7 linked regions of the Rattus norvegicus genome follow. The protein of the gene in region 7 interacts with the protein of the main gene of each other region in a biochemical or structural test. Links are inferred from orthologs where the notes say so. Each region holds a gene or a part of one and is shown on either strand. Other genes may lie near its edges. The genes, in order: Hip1, Rig1, Usp10, Psmc5, Ergic2, Trafd1 and Ubc.

What was found.
Region 1: the proteins of Ubc (region 7) and Hip1 form a complex in vitro, tested with the Homo sapiens proteins (3 studies listed by BioGRID). The link is inferred for Rattus norvegicus from reciprocal best matches to the Homo sapiens genes UBC and HIP1.
Region 2: the proteins of Ubc (region 7) and Rig1 form a complex in vitro, tested with the Homo sapiens proteins (3 studies listed by BioGRID). The link is inferred for Rattus norvegicus from reciprocal best matches to the Homo sapiens genes UBC and RIGI.
Region 3: of the proteins of Ubc (region 7) and Usp10, one has a biochemical effect on the other in vitro, tested with the Homo sapiens proteins (4 studies listed by BioGRID, with this or other methods). The link is inferred for Rattus norvegicus from reciprocal best matches to the Homo sapiens genes UBC and USP10.
Region 4: the proteins of Ubc (region 7) and Psmc5 form a complex in vitro, tested with the Homo sapiens proteins (2 studies listed by BioGRID). The link is inferred for Rattus norvegicus from reciprocal best matches to the Homo sapiens genes UBC and PSMC5.
Region 5: the proteins of Ubc (region 7) and Ergic2 form a complex in vitro, tested with the Homo sapiens proteins (2 studies listed by BioGRID). The link is inferred for Rattus norvegicus from reciprocal best matches to the Homo sapiens genes UBC and ERGIC2.
Region 6: the proteins of Ubc (region 7) and Trafd1 form a complex in vitro, tested with the Homo sapiens proteins (2 studies listed by BioGRID). The link is inferred for Rattus norvegicus from reciprocal best matches to the Homo sapiens genes UBC and TRAFD1.

The regions. Positions count from the first base shown.
Region 1 is NC_086030.1:26,891,947-26,895,446, reverse strand, and holds part of Hip1 (huntingtin-interacting protein 1), read right to left. Parts: intron 3,147-3,500; coding exon 3,041-3,146; intron 642-3,040; coding exon 518-641; intron 1-517. UniProt on the Homo sapiens protein: Plays a role in clathrin-mediated endocytosis and trafficking. Involved in regulating AMPA receptor trafficking in the central nervous system in an NMDA-dependent manner. Regulates presynaptic nerve terminal activity.
Region 2 is NC_086023.1:60,116,898-60,120,995, forward strand, and holds the end of Rig1 (antiviral innate immune response receptor RIG-I), read right to left. Parts: intron 2,473-4,098; coding exon 2,176-2,472; 3' UTR 501-2,175; downstream 1-500.
Region 3 is NC_086037.1:64,916,297-64,919,796, forward strand, and holds part of Usp10 (ubiquitin carboxyl-terminal hydrolase 10), read left to right. Parts: intron 1-45; coding exon 46-223; intron 224-3,297; coding exon 3,298-3,463; intron 3,464-3,500. UniProt on the Homo sapiens protein: Hydrolase that can remove conjugated ubiquitin from target proteins such as p53/TP53, RPS2/us5, RPS3/us3, RPS10/eS10, BECN1, SNX3 and CFTR.
Region 4 is NC_086028.1:91,686,251-91,690,352, reverse strand, and holds the start of Psmc5 (26S proteasome regulatory subunit 8), read right to left. Parts: upstream 2,801-4,102; 5' UTR 2,786-2,800; coding exon 2,762-2,785; intron 2,161-2,761; coding exon 2,089-2,160; intron 337-2,088; exon of another isoform or gene 211-336; intron 1-210. Other genes in the region: pre-rRNA 2'-O-ribose RNA methyltransferase FTSJ3, read left to right, coding at 3,321-3,387, 3,556-3,661.
Region 5 is NC_086022.1:182,847,991-182,851,490, forward strand, and holds part of Ergic2 (endoplasmic reticulum-Golgi intermediate compartment protein 2), read right to left. Parts: intron 600-3,500; 5' UTR 563-599; coding exon 457-562; intron 1-456. UniProt on the Homo sapiens protein: Possible role in transport between endoplasmic reticulum and Golgi.
Region 6 is NC_086030.1:40,836,251-40,838,459, forward strand, and holds part of Trafd1 (TRAF-type zinc finger domain-containing protein 1), read left to right. Parts: intron 1-157; coding exon 158-234; intron 235-790; coding exon 791-1,021; intron 1,022-1,602; coding exon 1,603-1,723; intron 1,724-2,188; coding exon 2,189-2,209. UniProt on the Homo sapiens protein: Negative feedback regulator that controls excessive innate immune responses. Regulates both Toll-like receptor 4 (TLR4) and DDX58/RIG1-like helicases (RLH) pathways.
Region 7 is NC_086030.1:36,899,087-36,903,299, reverse strand, and holds the start of Ubc (polyubiquitin-C), read right to left. Parts: upstream 2,801-4,213; 5' UTR 2,734-2,800; exon of another isoform or gene 2,171-2,733; intron 1,001-2,170; 5' UTR 998-1,000; coding exon 1-997.

The sequences.
Region 1 (3,500 bases), about 10 Mb from region 7:
AGAAGGCAGAGGCAAGCAGATCTCTCAGTTCAAGGCCAGCCTGGGATACATAGTGAGGTCCTATCTTTTTTTTTCTTTTTTTAAAGAATTATTTATTTTATGTATATGAGTACACCATTGCTCCTTAGACACACCAGAAGAGGGCATCAGATCCCATTACAGATCGTTGTGAGCCACCATGTGGGTACTGGGAATTGAACTCAGATCCCCTGGAAGAACAATCAGGTCTCTAAACCTTTGAGCCATCATCTCTCCAGCCCATGAGGTTCTGTCTTAAACAAACAAACACACACACACACACACACACACACACACACACACACACACACACACACGTGTATGTGTGTGTGTGTAGAGAGAATCAAAGTAGAAGAGACCTGTACACATTAGTAAAGTCATGTATGCTTACACGCACACACCACACATTAAAAACAAAACAAACAAACAACAAACAAACAATTAAAAATACAGAACTAATTGAGATCATGGATCAGAGATGCAGAGTGCGAAAGGCTACCTGTTTCCTCAATTTGAGATTTGCCGGAAATGGTTGAGGCCACCACAGCGGCCGTGGCCTGGTTCACTCCCCGAGAGGCCTGCTGCAGCTGGGTCAGATTGAGGCTGCCCTTGTTCGCTTTCACCTGCCAGGACAAAGGGCATTTACGTTCACTAGACATCAGGCGCAGCAAGACGGGGCCAAAAGGCTGGCCCGACGGTGCTTAGCAAACACCATCTGTTGTCAGCTCTCAAATCCAGTGTTGCCCATGGTACCGGCCCGGGACCTACCTCGAGTAAAAAGGACCCCTGGAATACAGGTTGGGTTACCCTATGCTCTAGCGTGCATAGTTATCTGCATGAACTCGTCCATGTGTGAGACAAAGGCCTTGGGATCCTAAGTAATAAGGGAGGAATAAAGACTATTCCTGGGTGAAGTTCTGGTCCAATGGTGAAAGAGCCCACCAATGTCTTCCCAGGAGCATTAAATGCTTTGGTGCTTCAGTTCAGAGACAAAGGAGGAGCAGACATTGGTTATATGGATTCCAGGGGCTAAGTCAGGTGACTGATAGATGGCTAAGCAGTTCCATCACCGGATACTTTGTTTTTTGGGACAGGGTCTCACTATGTAGCAGCTTTGGCAGGACTGGAACTTGCTTTATAGACCAGACTGACCTCAAACCCACAGAGGTTCACACACCATTGTGTCCTGACTGCTGAGATCAAAGGGGTGGGCCAACATGCCGGACTAATAGATACCCTTTTGTTTTTCTTTTTCTTTCTTTTTTTTTTTTAAAGATTTATTTATTTATTATATATAAGCACACTGTAGCTGTCTTCAGACACACCAGAAGAGGGTATCGGATCTCTTTACAGATGGTTGTGAGCCACCATGTGGTTGCTGGGAATTGAACTCAGGACCTCTGGAAAAGCAGTCAGTGCTCTTAACCGCTGAGTCATCTCTCCAGCCCTTGTTTTTCTTTTTAAAACGTATTTATTGGGGCTGGGGATTTAGCTCAGTGGTAGAGCGCTTACCTAGGAAGCGCAAGGCCCTGGGTTCGGTCCCCAGCTCCGAAAAAAAAAAAAAAAAAAAGAATAAAACATATTTATTTACTTTTATTTTTATGTACATTGGTGGTTTGACTGCATGTATGTCCTTGTGAGGTGCAGGATCCCCTAGACCAGGAGTTAAAGACAGTTGTAAGCTGCCATGTGGGTGCTGGGAATTGAACCCAGGTCCTCTGGAAGAGCAACCAGGGCTCTTAACTGCTGAGCCATCTCTCCAGCCCCCAGATACCTTTTTCTTGAAACAGGGTCTAACCACGCAGCCCTAGATGTATTTGAACTCACAGAAATCTGCCTGTCTCTTCTTCTTGAGTGTTGAGATTAAGTACATGTACCACCATGCCTAGTGAATAGATGCTGGTTTAATTTTGGATACCAGGAATGGGACCCAAAGCCATGTACTTGCTAGGCAGGGGCTCTACCACTGAGCCACGCCCCCAGCCCCTCACTGGGGGATTCTAGGCAGGGGCTCTACCACTGAGCCACACCCCCAGCCCCTCACTGGGGGATTCTAGGCAGGGGCTCTACCACTGAGCCTTGCCCCCAGCCCCTCACTGGGGGATTCTAGGCAGGGGCTCTACCACTGCCTCTTACCAGCAGACCCAAGGCAAGTACTTTGACACTAAACTGTCCCCTCAGGCATTTTTAAATTACTTTTTATTTTAAATTACTTTTTATTATTTATGTGGTGCTTATGTGCAGCTGTGCATGTGGAAGTCAGAGAACAACTGGAGTCCTTTCATTCTCCATGTAGGTCCCAGTGATCAATCTCAGATCATCAGGTTTGGTAGCAAGTCCCTTTTCCTGACTGAGCCATCTCACTGGCCCCTGTTTAAAATTTTTATTCTGAGCCAAAGTCTTGTGAGATTGCTCAGATTGGCCTTAAATTCATTTCAAGCCCAGGCTAGCCTTTAACTTTTAATTCTCCTGCCTCATCTTCCGAAGTAGCTGGGATGACTGGTCCATGTCACCTGGTCCACCTGAATGGTACTTGGAAGCTGATAAGCCTGGGACCCTCGAAATCTACTGACAAGAGTGATGAGAGCAGCAAGCCATGCATGTGATGAGCTGGGGGAGGGGCTCCCTGCTGGCACATATCAGGCTGTTTTGTTTAGTTGGCTTTTCAACTGTTTCTCTGTGTAGCCCTAGCTGCCCTGGAACTCAGTCTGTGGATTAAGCTGGGCTTGAACTCAGAGTCTTCTGCCTCTATCTCTGAGTACAGGGATTAAATGTGTGCCCCACCACCATTCTACTCTCCTTTTTTTTTCTTTACCAGTCCCTTTTCTCAAGAACCTTTTCTAGGGACTTAGACTATAGCAGCCTATACACTATAGGCACACATTAGGTTTTTAAAAGAGGGTGCTGTGAAAGCCCTGAGAGGGAGAACTTTTTACTCAGGACAGCTCCAAGCAGAGCTGTGGAATATCACCTGTCCCTCAGCTCAGTTTCCCGGCTCAAGTCCAGCACCAGCTGGCCCTACCTTGGATGCAGCCACAAGCTGGGCTGTGCTAGCGGCAATCTCATGCGAGCACACCATCAGCTCCTCGAACTTCCCTTTGCCTTGGACCACAAGGTCAGCAGCATCCCTGAGAACCCAGATGAGACAAGAAGGATGAAGTTACAGAGAGCAGAAAGCATCATGGCCAAGCCTAAGTCCCTGGCCAGGCGGAGGGCCCCCTGCTTAACCTGCCCCCCATCTTGTCCTGGGAGACCCTGGGTCTCTTCAAACTTCCAGAACTACTCACTCCTTTTTGTATTTATTTGTGGATGTGCAATAGCTATGTGTGTGTGTGTGTGTGTGAGAGAGAGAGAGAGAGAGAGAGAGAGAGAGAGAGGGAGAGAGAGAGAGAGAGAGAGCCTGTGGAAGCCGCAGGGCCAACACAGATGTCTTTCCACAGGTGCAATTTACCTTATTTATTTAAATTTTTCTTTTCTTTTTT
Region 2 (4,098 bases), on a different chromosome or scaffold from region 7:
GAAGTCCGAAGACAAGCATTCGCCCACCTCTCGAAACCGACCGTTCTACTCGTTCAGTTCTTACTAACCCAGGGTTGCTCCATTCCAGGGCACACTGCGCAGTGGCTTAAGTCCATGTACAACTCAAATTGTCATTTGTTCTCATCTTTAGTCTGCTTTTCCCCACTGACGAAAAAAGGACTATTTCACTTCAACTAAATTATCATTGTCAGGGCCGGGGAGGAGGCTCAGCGGTAAGAACAGCGGCTGCTCTTGCAGAGGTCGGAAGTTCAATTCTTAGCACCCACATGGCAGCATAAAACCATCTATAACTATAGTCAGAGGGAACCCAATGCCCTCTTCTAGTGTGCATATGTGCATGCAGACCAAAAACCCATATGCATAAAATATATACATTTTAATTAAATCATTGTAATGTTTAAAAGTTTTTTCTCAAGTAATTTCTAGAAGATACCTTACACATGCTAAACAACTGTTAAGCTGCAAAGGCATCATGTACTAAAAGACATAAATGAAAGTCAGCTCCCAGCAAATTCATCTAGTCCATTTTATTGCACTTACTAAGAAGTTTATCAATAACCATTATCAAGAACTACTATGTATCATCTTTTCCACCTATCAATTAAAAGCCTAATCCCTATAGGTTTTTTTCCCCAAAAAAGTTAGTTGCCGGTTATTTTCTCTAGGCATATGTGGGAAGTGGTCATTCTGTTGACCTCCAGGGTTGATCTGGGTAGTTTGGGTGACCCCTCTGCTCTGGGTGGTCTTGGGATAGTCTTCAGATGTAAATGCCATGTAAAAAGGGCTATGTGGCCATGTAATCTCTGCAGTTTTGTTTAGGCCATTGATGGCCCTAGTGAATTGTAAGTTTTAGGAAAGTGTTAAAACCACTTTACGGCCTTCAAAACCAGTACGATTCCTTCCCTGAACTGGAGCGCCTTGGTCTGTTAGCAGTAACAGCCCTTCAGACACCTGTCTCTTGATCTGAAGAAACTAAGCTCTTTGAAGCATTAACAAACTCTGTGAAGACACATGGAATTGCCGTTTGAATACATAAGGCTTAAGAAGAAAGCCAGGCATGGTGATGCAGGCCTTCAGTCTCAGCGCCCAGGAGGCAGGAGCTGACAGCCCTCTGTGATCAAGGGCAGCCTGGTCTACAGACCCAGGGCTACACGTAGGAACAGTGTCTCAAAAAGAACAACAACAAGCCATGTTAGGGGATGAACTGGAAATATTCAATTGTTAATATCAGCCTTTATTGAAAATAGCCAGAGCCAGGCCTGGTGAAAAATGTTAATTTCAGCACTTATGAGGTGGGGGGAATCTGTGAGTTTAAGGCCAGCATGGTCCACATATCATGTTTCTGGTCTATAGAGAGATCCTGTCTCAAACAGGTGGGAGGACAGACATAACAGATGAGATGGTCTAAGAGTCTATTCAAGGAGGGTAAATGGCCCAAATTCAAAGAACAGATTACAGTAAGATGTATAGTAAATGAACAGAACAGAAATACCTTCTCAGTAAGCGTAGTAAGCTATTAACTAAAGTCTTTCACATCTTAAAAGTATGTCTTTTTAAAACACATGTTGTGCATATTGAACCTTGAAATCACCAAATTTGTGTCAGCAAAGAAATCAGTGGGAAAGACTGGGAAGGGACGGAAACCAGGAGAATCTGCAGAGGGTGGCAGGGTGGCAGGGCCAAATTCAGAAAGGAGTCAACGCAAGGGACAGAGTAGAGTACGGCTGGATCTGTGAGTGTGGTGGCCTGGAAAAGAACTAAGTCAGTGGATTGTTAAGGGCGAAAGGCAGCTTACGGCAGGTAGAGCAAAGAGAGAGTATGGGAAACCTAGCGCCAGTCATCACGCGTCTCGATGTACCGAGTAGCTGTGCATTCTCTGGTGGGCAGTTCTGAAAAATGTAAAAGGGAAAACTTTCAACCCTCCCCACCATCGCCGAGTGCTAAGAGTTATTGGTGAACAAAGCATTCGGAGCTTCAGTTTGCACTTTGTGTGGACAGAAACAGCTTAGAGCAAACAGGTCAGGTTACCTGGCACTCAACACAGTGCAAGGTTGTGTAAGAAAGGATTGTGCAAGCTTGGGTAAGAACGCATTGGCTGGTCACTTCCACACTTAAGGCATGGCTCCCTATAGCGTGAGACTGAGAAGCCCAAGATCATGTGGACATTTCTTCGGGATTGAACTGTTTTCTTTCAAAATGAAAGTCCTTCCACTTTGAGTGCCGGTTCTGAACTCCACTCTCAATATCTTCAACAACGAAGCTTTCGATTTTTATGACTGGAATCTCAAACGTCTTGTATCTCACAAAAATCCCCCAGTCATGGCTGCAGTTCTGTTTGGCACAGAATATTTTTGCTTTCTTCTCAAAACTATCATAGATCTTTGGTTTAGGGTGTGGCTTACACACAAAGCGCTCCTTAAAAGCATCTCCAAGCACAGTGTAGTGGGATTTCTAGGAGGAAGAGAGGAAACATAGTTTTAGCAACAGTCCGAAGATGCCTTAAACGCCGCTTAAGGGTGAAGAATGAATGTGATCTCACTAATTTTACAGTTGGAAGAAAAGACTATGGCCAGAATCTCCTGTGGGCCAATTAGGATCCATTTACTGGGCCTCTTGCACCTAAAACAGGAGGAAGCCCAGCTTTCCAACTCAGAAGATCACAAACAAAGTGCAAGTTCAACAGAGGCCAGAAAGGCCAGACCCAGAGCACAGGGTTGACCACCCAAGGGTCACAGGGTATGTGTGAGAAGAGGCTCATACTGGCCACAGACCCCAATGCAGACCCAGTGTCCAGTCCTCCCGGGAAGTGGTCTAAAGGGACCACTGTGAACAAGAAGCCTTTGAAATTGGAGCTGAAAGGACCTTTAACGTCTAAAGAATCAACTCGGAAAGAGGATGTCCCTCATACTAAGTAATATAACCATCCCCTAGCTAGTCAGCCATCCGCCACCCTCCGCTGGTGGCAAGAATGCCGACAGCAAGATTAGTCTCTGGAGGGTTTTTTTTTTGTTGTTGTTGTTGTTGTTGTTGTTGTTTTGCCAACCTTTAGTTAAAAGTTTTGAGGGGACCGTGTGTAATGGTACATGCCTTTAAGTCCCAGCACTTGGGAGGCAGAGACAAGGGGATCTCTACAGAGTGAGTTTCAAGATACCCAGTGCTATAGAGAGAGATCCTGTCTCAAAAAAAAAAAAAAAAAAAAAAAAGAAAGTTTTAAGGGGGAAAGGTCGAAGGCTAACCTGCAAGTGTTAACATTCTTTTTCAAATGAGGTGTATTGTTTTCATTATAAAAGCATTGTCTGTCTCAATAAGGAAATATAGAAAACAAAATAGGAAGAGAGAATTTCACTAGCAGAATTATCACTTTCATATATTTAGCCTTCCCCCCCTTTTGACAAAGATGGACCCACACTGGTCATGACAACGACTCCGTTGCTCACGTTGTGCGCAGCCGTAAGGAAAGCATCTTTATAATTTCATCTTCCGGTTATTTTCCCACTTTACCACTAACTTGCTGGCAGGTTGACACTACACCATGTTCGCTTCGAAATCACAGCCTTAACGTTTTCTCTGGTCTAATCTTCGACAGACAGTAAAGTCGCCTCAGAAGATTTGTGAATGTCTCTAACCCCGTTCCAGTTTACACACGGTTAAACATTCGTTAAAACTAAGAAATCGATTACAGATTTTTATGCCTAATCCTTAGGTTCCTGGAACCAATCAAGGGCATAACACTGTACCTAGCATAGCCTTCGTTCTCTATGCCTGCATTTGAAAAATAAACAAAAATTTAAAAAAACAACCTATTTCTTTGGAGAGTGGTGGCACACGCCTGTAGGCCCTGAACTGGGGAGGCAGGGACACACAGAGGAATCACAGACAGGCTGAAGCCACCCTGGTCTACTTAGCGAGGCTGTCTTTCAGAACACACAGTTGTCCTCGCTTCCGGTGTGCAGTGCACTGATCCATGCATGCAGGGATCTCACCAGAGGAATCAGTATTCCCTTCTGCCCGCACAGTCTTCATCTCTCCATACTCGAGCCTTTGAGTCCCTCCCATCTAACTCTTTGTAAGAGTTGT
Region 3 (3,500 bases), on a different chromosome or scaffold from region 7:
TTTGTTTCTGAGGAAAGCTGACTCAGCAGATCCTCTTCTTTTCAGAGCACTCTGTTTCTAATGGGCCCGGAAGCCACTTGATAGAGGATGAGGAGCTGGAAGACACAGGCGAGGGCAGTGAGGACGAGTGGGAGCAAGTGGGTCCCAAGAACAAGACGTCTGTCACCCGGCAGGCGGATTTCGTTCAGACGCCTATCACTGGCATTTTCGGTGGACACATCAGGTTTGTGCTTTTCCATGTTCTCAAGGTGTGTGTGTGTGTGTGTGTGTGTGTGTGTGTGTGTGTGTGTGTGTGTGTGAGAGAGAGAGAGAGAGTGTGAGTGTCTGTATCCTTCCTCCTGCCATCTGCTTTGCCTGGCTTTCATTCGCTCTTCCTCAGGCCTGGCTCTCAGGGGCTGTGTGCCTCAGTGCCCCCAAGGGTGCTGGCCCATCACTTGAAGTCAGGAAGCCAAACTGACTTGATTGTTCTGGTAACAGAGACTCCTGTCCGACTGGAGGCATTGTATCACTGTACTTTTTATTAAGTGCATGTGTTAAAGTCTATAGAAGGATGTTATGCACACAGGTAGTGGAGTGTTGGCCATGGAAAACTGGTCAGCACAGAAACCCCGCTTCCATGGTGCCCCTCTCCCTGTCAGATGAAAGCAGCCGTGCTCTGCCCCTCCCCCCACCTCCGTATACCCGCGTACCCCGAGGGCTGATGCTTTGTGCCCTGTGTCCTGGACCTCCTGTTTTCTTCCCCCACATCACTGTGGTGACTTTGCTTTTAAATCTATAGCAGCGTGAGCACACATGGCTGTCCTGTGTCCAGCTCTGTTCATTTAGTATGATGTCTTCCAAGTCCATCCCTGTTCTGACGAATGTTAGGATCTCCTCTTCCAAGACTGAGTAATATTCCGTTACATATTCCCACCTAAGTGGCTTTATCCATGTGCTTTTTGATGGACACATAGACTGTTTATCTAGGAAATAACTGAATGGGTGAGACGGAATAGAGGCCAGAGCCTCATGAGCTAGAATGTGACAGGATCGGAGGGAGACACTGGCCCAGGAGGACATGTGACCTGGGGTCCTTCAGACAGCTTTCTGCTCGTTCATGACATCCTTCTGAAAGACTTTAGAGTTACTTCAGAAGCCCCGAGTTATCGTCTAAAGATGAGTCAGTGGGCTTCAATGGGTGCGATCTCCTGGATGCTGTATTGGAAACCAGTCTCTTCTCAGGCATCCAGTGCCAAATGAGTGAGTCCACTCAGTAGCAGACTGAGCTCCTTTCAGCAGAGTCTGCACTCCCTGCCTCAGAAGCTTCTCTTTGCTTCTGTGGCCCCCATGGGGAGGGCTGAGGACCCAGCTGAGCCACGCTGACATGGCACAGGCCCCCTTTTCCTCTGGTGTTCTTCATGGGGCTAATGGATCTGGTATGGTCTAGGAATCCCTGCCTACACGTCGCCACTGTGACTCATCTTGGCAGACACAGCCCCCCTGAGTCGAGCCACGGTGGAGGAATAAATAGGCAGGTCGGTGAGCAACAGAGGAACGAAGCTACCCTCTGCTGCTCTTGCCATCCAGCCCCGAGTTAGGAGTCAGGGCAGTGAGGGACAGCAGACTACAGGCTGCCACAGCACACTGCACTAAGGGGCAACATGGGCTGTTTCCCTAAGGGTGACAGCAGAGAAGAAGCCAGGCTGCCCTTCTCACCTCAGCCTCTGTGCTGGCCCTGGCTTCAGTAGCTTCCGTGAGGTTTTTCTGGTCAACTTCATGGTTTTTTCAAAGAACAAAAGCAGAGATAAGAAATTATTATTTTCATTTTATTCAGGGTCTCATGTATGCCAGACTGTCCTTACACTCAACGGTAGGTGTGGCCACAGCCAAGGATGATTTTGAGAATTTTAGTCATCCTTGCTCTCCCACCTCCCAAGTGCTGGGATTACAGGGGCATGCAGCCTACCCTAGCTTATGAGGTGCTGAGGTTAGAACCCAGCATCATGGGCACCAGCAAGCACGGTCCATCCCAGCAGCACCCTGGGCCTAGGCAAGGAGTTCTTTCCAGTTTTGTTTTGTTTATCTAAGGCAAGGTCTCTACTGCCCGTGTTGGCCTAAACTCATGGCAGTCCTCCTGCTTCAGCCTTCTGAGCACCCAGCTAATGAGGACTTCGGATGACCTGATGACTTGAACTGCATTTCAGACAGAATTAGAGTCTTCATTCTGACCAGGGACGGCCCCAAGTCACTGTCTTTCTGCAGTTTTTAGTTTCCCTAGAGAGACCCTTTTTTGGGGGGAGGGGGTGGTCCTTTTCTGATGAATGAAAGGTTTTGGAGTCAAGAGGGTCTTGATTTCTGCACTTACTTTTTTTTTTTTTTTTTTTTAAGATGGTTCCTCTGTGTAGCTCTGGTTGTCCTGGAACTCACTCTGTAGACAAGGCTGACCTTGAACTCAGAGATCTGTCCGCCTCTACTGCCCCAGGGCTGGGATCGGAGGAGTGCGCCACCCCACCCTGCTTTAATTTCATTGATGCTGTTCAACTTCCTTTTGGGAACCCTAGGAGTGTCAGTCATTGCCTGGCACTCTGGAGGAAGGCTGGGGCATTGGACTCTGAAAGGGTCTCGGCTGGGTGCCTATCTGTCCCTTTAAGTTGGAGTTTCCTCCCACAGCTCTGCTTTGCTCATAAACTAGGACTCAGGCTGCTTTGTTGAGTCTCAGAACGTTCCCTGGATGAGGTTAAGTGAGAGATGAGACATACTTATGGTTTTTATTCAGAACTGAGGAAAAGAAAGATGAATTAAAAAAAGTAAGAAAACAAGGTTGAGTGCCTTAGCTGCGAGGCTGCTCACCTCTCTTCCCGGATCGCTAACGTGGTTTTTATCCTTAGCTTGTTACCCTTCCTCCTCCTGATGTTTTTATAGCAGGAGAGCAGCCTTAAAAGTCCTGCTCCCCTGGGGATCCCCCCACGTCCCCATTTCACTAGAACAGGCTGTGACACTTAGTTAAACACTCCCCATCCCACTCTGCTTGAGTTTGTTAGCTGGTGCGTGCTGTGCTCTGCTGTGCAAGTGAAGAGTTTGGAAGTCGAAGCCCCTCAGCCAAGCCGGGAGAATGTGCAGATCAATTGCTAATCACAGGGTCTGGTAGTCAGCGGAGTTATTTTTAAATTCAGGGTGGTTTTGGCTGTTCTGTTGTCCCTGGTCCTGTGATACTGAGTAAACGTACTTGAGTATTGATTCCTTCTCTGTCAGTTAATCTTAAGGGAAAATGACAGACAGTGGCCTCTTACTCTTCTGTGTTTTCCGTTGCATTTTTAGGTCTGTGGTTTACCAGCAGAGTTCCAAAGAATCTGCCACGCTGCAGCCATTTTTCACACTGCAGTTGGACATCCAGTCCGACAAGATTCGCACAGTCCAGGATGCCTTGGAAAGCTTGGTGGCAAGAGAGTCTGTCCAGGGCTACACCACCAAGACCAAGCAGGAGGTATGCTCCCGCACAGCTGACCAGGAGCCTTCTAGAT
Region 4 (4,102 bases), on a different chromosome or scaffold from region 7:
ACACAAGCTTCCAAGGAGGAACCAACTGATAGTTCTACTCAGCTGTGATGCTTATGACCCACAATTACCATGGTGGCACCCAACAGTTCTCTAACTGGACTGCAGCCTGCTTAAAGGGAGGAAAACAAAGCCCGGTACTAGACACATAGTCAACTATGCCGGGCTCGTTACGTTATGGATTGTGAAGAGCCTACAATCACTTTACTAAACCTTTTTTTCCCCATTCACAATACAGACCAGGCACGGTGGCCTAGGCTGAGGAGTACACAGGGTAGGTTTACTCTGTTTCCATACAGTCAGTGTAGGAACACAGCCTGTGGTAAGCACAAGGAGGCCCACTTTACTAAGTCTGCATAATCTGTAACTGCAGTCTATTACAGATAAATGCGGTTCTAGTCCCTTCTCTTGAAACTTCTCTTGGCAACAAATGGAGACAATTACAGACAACCACAACTGACCAAAACGTAGAAGTCAAGAGACTGCATTGCTGGTCCCAACTGACATCTACAGTGCAACTCCTAAACCCAGGGCTCAGAGGTCATTTTGGAAGAGGGGGCAGAAAGATCCTAAGAGCCAGATAAACAAGGTTTGCTGGGAGACTGTTTCTTAGAAATGTCAGAGATTGGGCTGAAGAGATGGCTCAGCGGTTAAGAGCACCGACTGCTCTTCCAGAGGTCCCGAGTTCAATTCCCAGCACCCACATGGTGGCTCACAACCATCTGTAATGGGATCTGGTGCCCTCTGCTGGTGTGTCTGAAGACAGCTACAGTGTACTCACATATATAAAATAAGTAAATCTTAAAAAAAAAAAAAAGAGTCAGAAATGCTACACTCATGAAGTCTCATCGACATGGATTCTTAAATTAGACAAGTCCTGAACACTGGTGACACCAATGGACACGCTAACATGGAAGGGAGAAGTTCACTCATGGGGCCTCAACCCCAGACAAAGAATTATGGCTCCTGAGGAAAGCTGAGAGGAAGACAAGGAAGAAGCGCCCCGTTTGGTTATGCAGTACCCAGTGAGCACATACATGCAGGTAACATTATACAGACTGAACAGGTCATGTCTGTGTATTTAGGAACACCCATAGAAGGGGTGGTTATGCAGTACCCAGTGAGCACATACATGCAGGTAACATTATACAGACTGAACAGGTCGTGTCTGTGTATTTAGGAACACCCATAGAAGGGGTGGTGGTGATAAGGATTTCAAAACATAAAATTAGAAAAAACAGTTAGTTTTAAAAGGTAGGCACGACGACACAGGCTTGTAATTTCTACCCTAAGGAGGCTGAGAGCTGGAGAATCCCAGCCCATCTGGGCTACACAATGAGAATCTATTAAATAAACAAAAGTAAGACAAAGGCAAGACAATAAAAGACAGACAACAACATCCATCCTTCCGCCTTATTTCAGACCCGAGAAAGGTGAAGCACTAAAGACCAAAGCAGAAGCATTAAAGCATGGTTAAAAGTGGTTGAGAGTCCCAGCTGCTCCGGGAGAACCTGGGCTGGATTCCCAGCACCCACACGGCAGCTCACAACCTTCCGTGACTCCGTTTCCAGGGCTCCTACACCATCTTCTGGCACAGACATAGATGCAAGCAAAACACCCAAACACAACATAAAATGAAAAGCCTGAAAAAGCGAGCGAGCGAGCAAACAGAAATCCTAACTAAATACCATTCCCATCCAAGAGATTACCAATATACGTTACACTGCTTGTTACTTCCTAACCACAGAGGAGGGGCTGGAGAGGCGGCTCACCAGTTAACAGGGTTTACTGCTTTTGCAGAGGGCCTGGGTTTAGTTGTCACTCTAAGTGCCTGGGAAAGATAACTATCTGTAACTCAAGTTTCAGGGGATCCACTGCCCTCTTCTGCCCTGCGCAGGCACCTGCATACATATGATGCATATAAGCTTACGAAAGCACACATATACACATATGCATAATAAATTAACAACTGAAGAGCTACAAGAACGACACTGGAAAAGAACACTTTGCTGCACTCCCAGTGGAAAAAGGACGTTGAGAAATCTGCACCTACCAGCTAGCTCTCAAGCTCCCTCTGGTGTCTGGACTTACCTGGAGTTCTTCAATCTTGGACAGATAATATTGACGGAGTCCACTGCCTGCCTTCCCCTCTTCCAGTTCCATCTGAAGACAAGTGTAATTGTTAAACAGTTACGTAAACTACTAAGGGATAAAGCCAAAGTATTTTCAGGGCACTTTACCATATAGCTTAAGAAACAAGGCCAGGAAAGTATCATTCCCTTTTCCTCAGAAACTGGTTATCTCCATAGGTGAGGTCTGTGTGTTTGAACTGCAAAGGCTTAGTTATTGGTTCTAATCCTTCACTTTTGAATCCACTAAAAGGATGCAATTACCGCCTACCTTCGAAGACTTTTAGGAGGCTCAAGGGGCCATATACTTACAGAGCGCTTTGCTCTGTGGCAAGAGCTATACAAACCCAAGGTGTAACTACTACAGACAAAGGCAGAACAGAAGGACCAAGTCCAGGTCCCACCCAGGCCATTCCGGCTTGCCTAGCTCTTCATTCAGTTTTTACCCAGCCCTGTCCTGCTTACCGCGGGTGGCGCTGACACAGCAGATCCAGTTCCAGGCAGGGTCAAGTCTGACGTGGTCCACCCACCCCTGATCCACTCGACCCTTTTGCTAGTGGCCACCCCTCAGTTCAGATTTTGTGCACTCCACACTCGGCTTGGATGCCGCCCTGACGCCGCGGCAGAATCCTTACCTGCTCTGGCCCATCAAGCGCCATCTTCCCTCCTTCGGCAGGGACCGCCGGCATCCAAGTCACCCTATTGCGCAGGCGCGGAGCCGAAAGCGTGCGACCTGGGTCACGACCGAGAACAGTTCCGGGTCAATGGGCGGGGTGTGTGGTGAGACAATAACAGTGGCTTTATTACAGGCTCTACTGGCGGTTAGTAGGTTTGTAAAGAGATATATAACTTATGGCGGATGCTTCCTAGAGTCTAGGGAGTAGTTATTGTACTCTACTTCCTAGCCTCTACTTTTAACTTGCAAGACACGCTGACAAAATTTTTGGCCACACTCAAAATGGCGTAAATCAAGACGCTAGGAACACAGGGAGCGCGAGCGGAAGCGGAAGTACGATCACTACCCACATGTGCTACTTCCCTAAGTGTTGAAAACCTGCGGAGTTAAGGGCTATCTAACGTCTCGGTAAGTGATTGCTTCGCCACCCGAGGAACCGAAGCAAAAATCCAGCGCTCTGAAAGATATTCTCAACTTTTTCTTTCTCCCCAGAGTGAGTGATACTACCCCATCCCGCCATGGGCAAGAAAGGCAAAGTAGGCAAGAGCCGGCGGGACAAGTTCTATCACTTGGCCAAGGAGACCGGTGAGTGGGTTTGCGCTGCGTGAATAACATATCAGCCTTTACGCTTTTTCTAATATTGTGTTCCTTTTCCTTAGGGGGAGGGTGATGGGGTTGTGAGGCTGTGGAAGTCCTCTTAGAAAAGGCATCCGTAGACGTTATTGTTTTATACATCCACTCCCTACGGTCTAGGTTATCGTTCGCGTTCTGCCTTCAAACTGATCCAGCTCAATCGCCGCTTTCAGTTCCTTCAGAAAGCCCGGGCCTTGCTGGACCTGTGTGCTGCACCTGGAGGATGGTAATATTTGGTTGGCAGGGACTGCTTGTGATGATACGTCCCTTGCACTGGCTGGCTTTGAGTTGCTTTGGGGGAGGATGGAAATCCGATTATACAATTCAGATTAAATATTCCATAGCATGTGTCTCTCCTAAATTTTGGAAGTCAGTGTCATTCTTTTTTCCCCTCTCGTGGGACTGAACCTAAGGACTTACTCATGCTAGGCAGTCGCTCCACCACCGAGTTATATCTCCAATCTGCTTTCTTTTCATTGAGACAGGGACTCTCAGAAATTGCCCAGGCTGGCCTTGAACGTTTGGCCTTGATAGCTGGTAATGCAGCCCTGTGTTGCTACGCCCAGCAGCTTGCTTCTTGAATGTGTGCATAGACAATTTGGCCAAGACACTTAACAAGTGCCCCTTAAGAGGCTGGGAAATCACATTGCCAAGGGATGAAAGGTAT
Region 5 (3,500 bases), on a different chromosome or scaffold from region 7:
ATTAAACCTAGCAATATAAATGCCAATCACCTCTTTCATGGAAGAACTATGGCAGACAGAACTTAACTAGCTCTCACTCCACTCTGGGTCCTATGAAACTCAAAAAGACTTTCACACAGCAAACATTTACCATTGCTCAACCTAGAACAGAACAGGATGTGTCAGCAGCCTTTCCTAACTCCCTCCAGTTTCAAATTCACTTACACATAAGAATTTTTATGGAGAACAATGCACAACAGGATGGCACGGAAGCCACTCTGCACTGCTCTGCTCACTGACACTTTAATAAGCCCTGCTGGAGGCACGGGCACTGCCAGATGCTAGAGTTAACACAGATCACAGAGGGCAGCAAATGGGCACAGGACGAGCAGTTACAAAGACCCAGTGGTGAGGTCTTCCTCCTGGCCAGTGCCCACATGCTGGTGATCAGTGAATCAGAGTCGGAACTGAGCTCACCTGTTCCCCCACTGGCTGATGTCTCCACATAGCTGTCAGGAACCTTGGGAAAGGCATCTAACTCTTTCACCAAACTTAAGGTTTTTCTCCGATTCAGTCGCCTCATCTTCAGAAAAACCTTCCTTTTCCTTCATATAGTCATGCTAAAAAACAGATAAATATATAGCCAATTTTCTCAGAAATTAGCAATGCACATTTTACTCTTTTCTCCATTCCTACTGACAAAATTAATGAAAGGCAATATGAAAACGCACATTAAAGTGGGAAACTGTCCATTTTAGTTAAAGAATTACAATTAGGTTGAAATATTTATTTATACGTATATACGTGTGTCGGGGCAGGAGCTACAAGGCGAAACAAGCTGAGGTGAGTTCTCAGATACTTATTCTAAATCAGCAACACAGGTGTCCCTCAGTGTCCACAGGGAATCGACTGCACAGACAGTAGGGACACACATGGCACTCCAGACTTCTCCTTAGATGGCACACCTGCTAACAATCCAGCACTTCTGCTCACACACTAAGATCATCTCTAGGTCACTTACAGATCTAAGCAGAAACCTGACTGACCTTTCAATCATTCAGTCTCTATTCGCTATACATGACGGGATTTATGTGTGTTATGTATACGGGGGCATCTGCTCATGCGTGTACAGCTGCATATGTGCATGTGGAGGGCAGACATCAATGCTAAGCATTCTCTTCAATCTCTCCACTTTATGTTTTGAGACATGGTCTCCTATGAACCTGGACCTGATCAATTCCTACAGCCTGGGGCCTGGATAACCAACGAGCCCTAGGCATCCTCTTATCTCTATCTCCCCACTGTTAGGGTTGTCAGGTATGCCAGCACACAGAGCTTTAAACATGGGCACTACGGATCCCAACTCCAGCCTTCAAGCTTGTGCAGCAAGCACCAGGTTGAGCCATCACCATAGGCTCTTATTCACCACTAAAAATATTCATGCGTTTCAAAGAAAAGCACTGCTGCGCCCCAAACTCACACCTAGCTCACAATTTAAAGGAATGTGATGTCTCTATCTATTGAGTTTAAATTTTATTCCTCTCTCATGTTCTGACTAAACTGGCTTTGGGGGCTGTTATCTTTGGAGGTACTAAGTCCAAGAAACACTTCATATTGTAGCCTTATTTAGAACATATTTACATTTATATTCATACTCTCACCCTGACCCCGTGTGTGTGGGGGCGGAGGGGTAGAAGGGTGGGAGGGAGGGAGGGAGGGGAGAGAGAGATCTCCTTTCTCATGAAGCAGCCTCTTTCCTTGAAACTCAGTGAGCACCCCAATCTCAAAACCAAAAGCTGACAAGCCAAACCACTTCAAAACCCAGGCTTTTGAAATCAGACTTGATGCTCATTTTTCCAAGGGATTCCCTCATTTTTCATTCATATTTTGGATTCCTTCGAATCTTCATTTCAGTTCCAATCCTTCAGAAAACTACCGCCTTGCCTTCTACTATATATTTTTCTTTCCTAGTGGTCCACCACTGAAATACTCAACACCGGCCTTCTACTTTCCTGTCTATTTTCCCTTGACCATCCTAACATGGCTTACAGAATCCTTCACAAACCAAGGCCATCAAATCAAATATCTTGCAGTCTAAGTTCCAGCAACACTGAAAACCTATCAATGTTCATTCTTTCCTCTCTGCCAGAATTAGTCCTTGTCCTCTCCCTCAGCTTTCCTAAGGACTGATCCCATTTACTCTTCTGTGCCTCATATGACTAGAACGGTTTCTACCCAGGGACTGCACATTCCATTTTCTCCACAGGACAGTCAAAGAAAGCTTCATGTCTAACTTCACCTTTGCAGTGCCAGTGCCTGTAAGTATTAAGGGAAGGAAGAAAAACACACAAAGTAGCACAGACTGCAAATCTAAATAGTGTCAAATCTGGGTAAATGAATACTTAAAAACACTATCCATAGGAAGAATTTCTCACTGTTCAATATAGAATCACCAGCTTTTAAACAATGGCTGTATTATAACTACTGAAAAGATGAATAGGGGATTCTACTTCCAAAACTTAAGTGTATTTTCATAATACACTTAATTAGTAGTTCCTTTTAACATACATATGAAAGTATGGCAAGCATCTGTTAAGTTTCACCAACCTCCCAAACACACACAATCACGCATTTCCTCCCTCATCTGGCTACTACTCTGTCTCAAGCTTCTGCCATGATTCTTTTCCGGGACTGTCATTTTAGAAGGAAACAGGCTGTCACTCTACAGCTTCTATCCCATCCCAGCAACCTCACAACTTACAACTTCTTCCAAGAAAGCCATTCAACCTCTAACACTTGTCACAGTATAAAGCCACTGTTATGACATGAACATGCTACCCAACTGATTAAAAATTAAAATTAACCTGCTTTTTATGAAATCCTCATGTTGTAATTCCCATTCAATACTTCATTCCTAAGACTCTCAAGGTAAGAAAGTCAGGTCATGTTTCTCTCCCTACCTCTTCTCTTTAGCGCCTGCCTCCCCTAAACAATCGACAGCTAACTCAGTAAAACTCAATGTCCTTTACATAGGAGCTTGATTCTTCAATGACAACACTTTTATTCCTTCTTATAAATGAACAATCAAACATTTTTCCCAGGAAGGTGCAAGTGGTCCTATGGAGAGCAGAGATTTAGTCCCAAGCAGTCTGGCAAAGTCTGATCCAAATCCCAGTGCTCCTGTCTCCAGGACTTGTTGCCAGCCTCTCTGCACTGAGATGCATCTACAGCTCCCTATGGCCTCTGCACCTGGATCAATCAGCAATCATCTTATTTTTCTCATCCCACCATCATCTGATATCTCCAAAGGCACCATGCCCACGTGTGGTGTGTGTGTATGCACTACCCAGGCAAACCACCTATGTGTATACAGTAGAGAACACTGCTTTAGATATACTTACTTAGTAAAACTAACACTATATCTATGTCCATCTTCAAACCCAGCTTTCCTGGCATTACTCTTGTATCCATGACCACACTGTTTCACAAAAGGGGGTCTCTGCATGATGCTTCTGTTTACT
Region 6 (2,209 bases), about 3.9 Mb from region 7:
CAGAGGATTTTCTTTTCGTGTGAAACCTCTACTTGTATCAGTTTTGGAATTTATACTGTGTCCTTGGCATCCAGCACCCACCCCTGCCCCAGTCAGACTTGTGTGTCAGGCACTCTGGGGGAAGGGCTGACCGGCACTTGTTTGTTTGGGGCTCCAGGTGCTGCTGACGAGACTCTCCTGCCCTGTGAGTTCTGTGAGGAGCTGTACCCGGAGGAACTGCTCATTGACCATCAGGTAGGTGTGTGTTACTCTTCAGGACCGTGAGCAGGCTCTGGGCGGTGTGACAAGCTGCAAGAGGCCTTAGCGAGTGCAGCGCTGGTGGTGCGGTGTAACCGCTTTTCCTTTATGCTGTAGTACTCAGGCTCAAGTGACCTTTCTACCTCCGTGTCCCAAGCAACTGGGATTGTGGGCACACAGCACAGCACTGTGTCTCGTTTTCAGGGAGCCATGGACCTCTTTCCACTTGACTAAGTGATGAGGCCTCGCTCAGCACAGCTCAGGTGCTATGTAGTCTGTGCTTTGGGTGACAGGTCACACCCTGCTTTGGGTTGAATACTTTAAATGGTCCTTTAGTAAGGATAAAAGACTGTTTGGCCTTTGTTTATGGTTTGGGCCCCGTGTGTGGTGATGGCACGGGTGCAGTAGGGAGCAGTAGAGTGGAGATGAACTCTGTTCTTTCCAGCTCTGCAGCACTCAGGGGGTGAAGTAGTTTCTTGGTGAAAATGTTTATTGATAGAATTTTTTCTTAACCTTTTTTTTTATTTTTTTAACATTATCTTTTGAATGACAGACAAGCTGCAACCCTTCACATGCCTTACGTTCACTCAATACTGGCAGCTCTTCCATTAGGGGGGTGGAAGATCCTGGTGCCATCTTCCAGAACTTTCTACAACAAGCAACAAGTAACCAGTTAGACACTTTAATGGGCCTGAGCAGTTCAGCTGCTGTGGAAGACAGCATTATCATCCCCTGTGAGTTCTGTGGGGTGCAGCTGGAAGAGGAGGTGCTGTTCCACCATCAGGTGAGAGCCTGCTGAGCTCACGGTATCGAGTATGCTCGAGCAGGGGCTGAGGGAGCGTCTCCCCGAGTATGGAGGCTTCCTGATTTTGACTGGCAGGCTCTGCTGGGCTATGTGAGTGCTGTGTTCCTTAACACGGGCTCCAGCTCTGGCTTTGCCATGTGGTGATGCCCTGAGGCTCCTGGAAGGAAGGGTGCTACACTGCACACTCTAAAGGCCTTTCCCAGTCTTCCCAGTCTGGACTCCTGTGTTGTTAGTGGGGAAAGTGCTCCCCACCCACAGTGGTCAGCTGTGTGAGGAGCCGGCAGGGCAGGCGCAGCCTTGCATGGCTCTCGGTAGCTCCTCCCACCTCAAGGACAAACTGCTGCTTGTCACCTAAGCCACCACACAAACACTGCAGACAGAGCATGCTCTTCTGACCACAGGAGAGTCTCAGGAGTCCATGATGGCTGTCCATTCTATTCCCAGAACTTGGCTTCCTCTGATTTCCAGGAGTTGTAGTGGCTGTCAGTGTCTCCCAGCCTGCTGATGCTCTTCCCTTCCCAGCATCCAGAGTACTCAGTGTTTTCTTTTCTTTTTTAAAGGATCAATGTGACCAGCGCCCAGCCACAGCAAACCACCGAGCAATGGAGGGCATCCCTACACAGGATTCTCAGCCTGAAGACCGTTCACCAGAGCTGTCCAGGAGGCGGGTCAAACACCAGGGTATCAGCTGGGGCTGAGCGAAGCTGCAGCCACTGCTGGCTCAGGCCTGCTTCCCATTCCTGCTCTCCCGGAGGCTTGCCTAGGCCTCTAGTTCCCATGCATGAGGGTCTCTTGGGAGCTCTGCTGAGGCTAAGTGGTCCCCACATTACCCCAGGCTGACCCAAGTGCAGATCTTATAGGCTCATGGCTTCCAAGACAGCTGTGAATCACAGTGCTGTGGTAAGCTGTGGTTCCTGACTGCTTTATTTAGTCATCTAGCTGGGTGCGTGTTTCTGAAACTTCCCACCACAAAGTCAACTGCAAACAGCTTTTCATAGTTGGCTGACATCTGTTTGCTGAACAGTTAGGAACCTGTCCTTGAGGATCAGGACATCAGCATGTGGAGTGGGCTCTCTGCCACAACAGTCTGCTAGTAACAGCTAGGGTAGCCTTCCCCCTAAAGCCATTGCCGCCTTCTCTTCCCAGGAGACCTGTCGTCTGGCTACA
Region 7 (4,213 bases):
TTGCCTTGACATTTTCAATGGTGTCACTGGGCTCGACCTCCAGGGTGATGGTCTTGCCTGTCAGGGTCTTCACAAAGATCTGCATGCCCCCTCTGAGGCGAAGGACCAGGTGCAAGGTGGACTCCTTCTGGATGTTGTAGTCTGACAGGGTGCGGCCATCTTCCAGCTGCTTGCCTGCAAAGATCAGCCTCTGCTGGTCAGGGGGGATGCCCTCCTTGTCCTGGATCTTTGCCTTGACATTTTCAATGGTGTCACTGGGCTCGACCTCCAGGGTGATGGTCTTGCCTGTCAGGGTCTTCACAAAGATCTGCATGCCCCCTCTGAGGCGAAGGACCAGGTGCAGGGTGGACTCCTTCTGGATGTTGTAATCTGACAGGGTGCGGCCATCTTCCAGCTGCTTGCCTGCAAAGATCAGCCTCTGCTGGTCAGGGGGGATGCCCTCCTTGTCCTGGATCTTTGCCTTGACATTTTCAATGGTGTCACTGGGCTCGACCTCCAGGGTGATGGTCTTGCCTGTCAGGGTCTTCACAAAGATCTGCATGCCCCCTCTGAGGCGAAGGACCAGGTGCAGGGTGGACTCCTTCTGGATGTTGTAGTCTGACAGGGTGCGGCCATCTTCCAGCTGCTTGCCTGCAAAGATCAGCCTCTGCTGGTCAGGGGGGATGCCCTCCTTGTCCTGGATCTTTGCCTTGACATTTTCAATGGTGTCACTGGGCTCGACCTCCAGGGTGATGGTCTTGCCTGTCAGGGTCTTCACAAAGATCTGCATGCCCCCTCTGAGGCGAAGGACCAGGTGCAAGGTGGACTCCTTCTGGATGTTGTAGTCTGACAGGGTGCGGCCATCTTCCAGCTGCTTGCCTGCAAAGATCAGCCTCTGCTGGTCAGGGGGGATGCCCTCCTTGTCCTGGATCTTTGCCTTGACATTTTCAATGGTGTCACTGGGCTCGACCTCCAGGGTGATGGTCTTACCAGTTAAGGTTTTCACAAAGATCTGCATTGTCTATGGAAAAAAAAACAAAAAACAAAAAACCAAAAAACAGGTCAGGAATGACACAAATTCTTTAGAGTGCCACCAACCGTTGGATCTGTGAGGTGGCTAGTAGTTTAGTCTAAATAGCTACACAGACTGTTTTGAATTTTACCCCCTAAAACCAACAAGAAAATAAAAGTCTTGATGGAACAAAGTTATGAATATTAGGCATTGTCTATTACCAAGTTGGCAGGGTGGAGCGTTCAGTACGGAACTGCTGAAAGTCAGTCCCTGACTATTTGCAGTTTGGAGAAAAGCCTGACCCACATTTCACCTTGGGGGAGGGGGGTTTAGGAGGACCCACTCCAAAGAAGTCAGAAACTCAAGAGCTTAGAAGGCAATAGTTGGAAATCCCGGATTCAGGTCCCGACTGGTAGATAGAGCCAGTTACTACTACAAAACTGAACTATGTTCATATCTTTCCTCCCAGCACTGGGGACACTGAGGTGGGCAGATTTCGTGAATTGGGAGGTCAGCCTGAGACAGTGAGATCCTGCCTCAACTCTCCTTCCCCCAAGCTTTTGTCTGAACAATTAAACAGTAGTTTACTCTTACTCTTATCCTCTTAACCTCTTACTTTCACCCCATCTGTCCCTTCTCTCCCCATTCTCCTCCCTGCTCTCTCTCCACATGTTCCGACCAGCTTTACTCCCTCCTCAACTCCCCTTCCCATGCCCTGAATAAACTCTATTAAAAAAAAAAGTAGTCTGGGGTAAGTGGCACTGGCCTTGGACCTCATCACATGGGTGGTAGAGGCAGAGATTTTTTTAAAGTTTAAAACCCTTGTCAGGCTGGTAAGATGACTCAGTGATTAATAGCACTGACTGCTCTTCCAGAGGTCCCGAGTTCAATTCCCGGCAACCATATGGTGGCTAACAACCATTTGTAATGAGATCTGATCACACCTCTTCTGGTGTGTCTGAAGAAATAAATCTTTTTTTTTTTTGGTTCTTTTTTTCCGGAGCTGGGGACCGAACCCAGGGCCTTGCGCTTCCTAGGCAAGCGCTCTACCACTGAGCTAAATCCCCAACCCCTGAAGAAATAAATCTTAAAAAAAAAAACACCCTTGTCTAATAAATAGTTTCCGCAGCCATATCCGTGTAGCGAGACAAGGAAAGACTCAATGTAAGTCAGGCTCACGTTCCCCCTCTGAATTTCCGGTTCCTGTTTACTCTGGAGAGGCTACCCGAGGCCGAGACCCAAACCCGGTCCTACAACTGAGGGAAAGCTAAAGCCATCGTCACTATACACTGTGAGACCACACAAACCGCGACGTCACAGGGGCGATAGGCTAGGCTGGACCGCCACCCTCCCCCTCCCTTCCCAATCGCACTCCTGTATTTAGCAACCGACGAATTCCGGATAACCGACATCTCCCTCCCGTCTAATACCCACAGTTCTCACATCAGAGGCTCCTACAGCGCGCCAACCGAATTCAGTTCCCAACCCAAGCCTCTGACGTTCCCGGCTTAACCGGCGGCAAGCGGCCTCGCGGGCCTGCTTCCCCCAACCTGGTCCAGCGCGTCAGGACCGCGCGTCTTCCCCCTCAGGCTTCCATTTGGCCGCCATCTTGCCGCCCGGTCCTCGGCCTCAGGACAGCAGCCGTCCTCGCGGGCCACGGAAACCAAACGTCCGGGCCGCGGGCTGTCTCTCGCCCCCTCCCGCCTCCCCGCCCCCGCCGGGTGTGGCGGCTTTCTCCTCACCAGCGGTGTTGGCTGCAGTCCTCACAAAAGAGTAGAGACGGAACTGGCGGTCTCCACGGAACTAGCTGCGGGACGCGAGGCGTCTCTTTATATAGTCATCGGGAGCCCCGCCCACCCCTGGATTCCTCCGCGGAAATGCGGTTGGGGACTACTTTTTAATGCCCGGTCCAATCTCTGCAATGGAAGCGACAGGCTAAAACCATTAAGATCGCTTCATGGGGTTGTTCCACTGCGAAGGCCAGAGAGTGAGGGGCTTTGTGTGGAGGGGCAGGACTGCGACCTTGCGCGACCCCGCGGAGGGATCAGCGCCTGTGACGTGATCGGCGCTAAAACCCGGCAGGGATCACTGCAGCCGGAGCGGACCTCGGCGCAGGCGCACTGTGGCTAAGCGAGCCGGAGACCCACCAACTACCCCCCACCCCCTCCGTCAAGGGTCCCAGTCGCCTCTTTCTGTTAGGGGGACCTAGGGCTTTGGCTCTTGTTACACTGATATTCCATTGGTGGCCTCGGCTCCTAAGTTCCCTCACCTCGAGTCGGTCGTCACTGTGCCCAGCCCTCTTTGTTTTGGCACGGTGACAGGATGGATGACTGTGCAAATCTCATAACAAGGGAAATGACAACGGTTTTTTTTATTTTTTATAAAAAAAATGGGGGGGGGGGGGATCTCTCCCCAGTTTGGGAAAACGAATCTGAATTCGTCAAGAAAAGCAGTCAGTCCTCACAGTTCTTGAAAACTGTTGGCATTAGATCTGAAGCCCAGTGGGCACTAGATCTTTCCAGATTCTTCCTAAGTCTGTTTATGTCTGGTGTCCTTGGATTCGAGAAGGTTCTGTTTTCTGTTCGATTGTCACTAAGGAAAGGTCAAAATATCAAAATGTTGTTCATATTCTGAGACTGAACCCATCGAAATCCTATTTTTTTAATTTTTGTTGTTCAGACAGGGTTTCTCTGTATAGCCCTGGCTGTCCTGGAATAGGCTTCGTAGACCGGGCTGGTCTCAAGTTTACAGAGATCCTTCTGCCTCTGCCTCTAAGTGCTGGTCTACAGGGCTACACAGTGAAACCTCGTCTTGAAAAAAACCAAAACCAAACAAAAACCCACACACACACACAAAAAGTACACGTTTAGTACAATGTTCAGATTACAGCAAACATATACCCCACTTGTAAAATTCAGCCTATTCAGGTTTTTGAAATGTAAGGCCTGAGACCTTAGAAGGTAAGAATTGAATCCCTAGGGTAGAGAGATGGCTCAGCAGTAAGAGCAGGTCTTCTTCCAGAGTTCAATACTGAGCAACCCTGTCAGGCAGCTAGCTTACAAAGGCCTTTGACTCCAAAGCTTCTCAAGGCTTCAAGGAGGTCCAATGTCCCTAGGGGCACTCACATACATGTAGCATGCACACACACAGACACACACACTATTAAATGCCTTTAATCTCAACCTTTTTCTTTTTTGAGATTTTTTTTTGAGACAGGGTCTC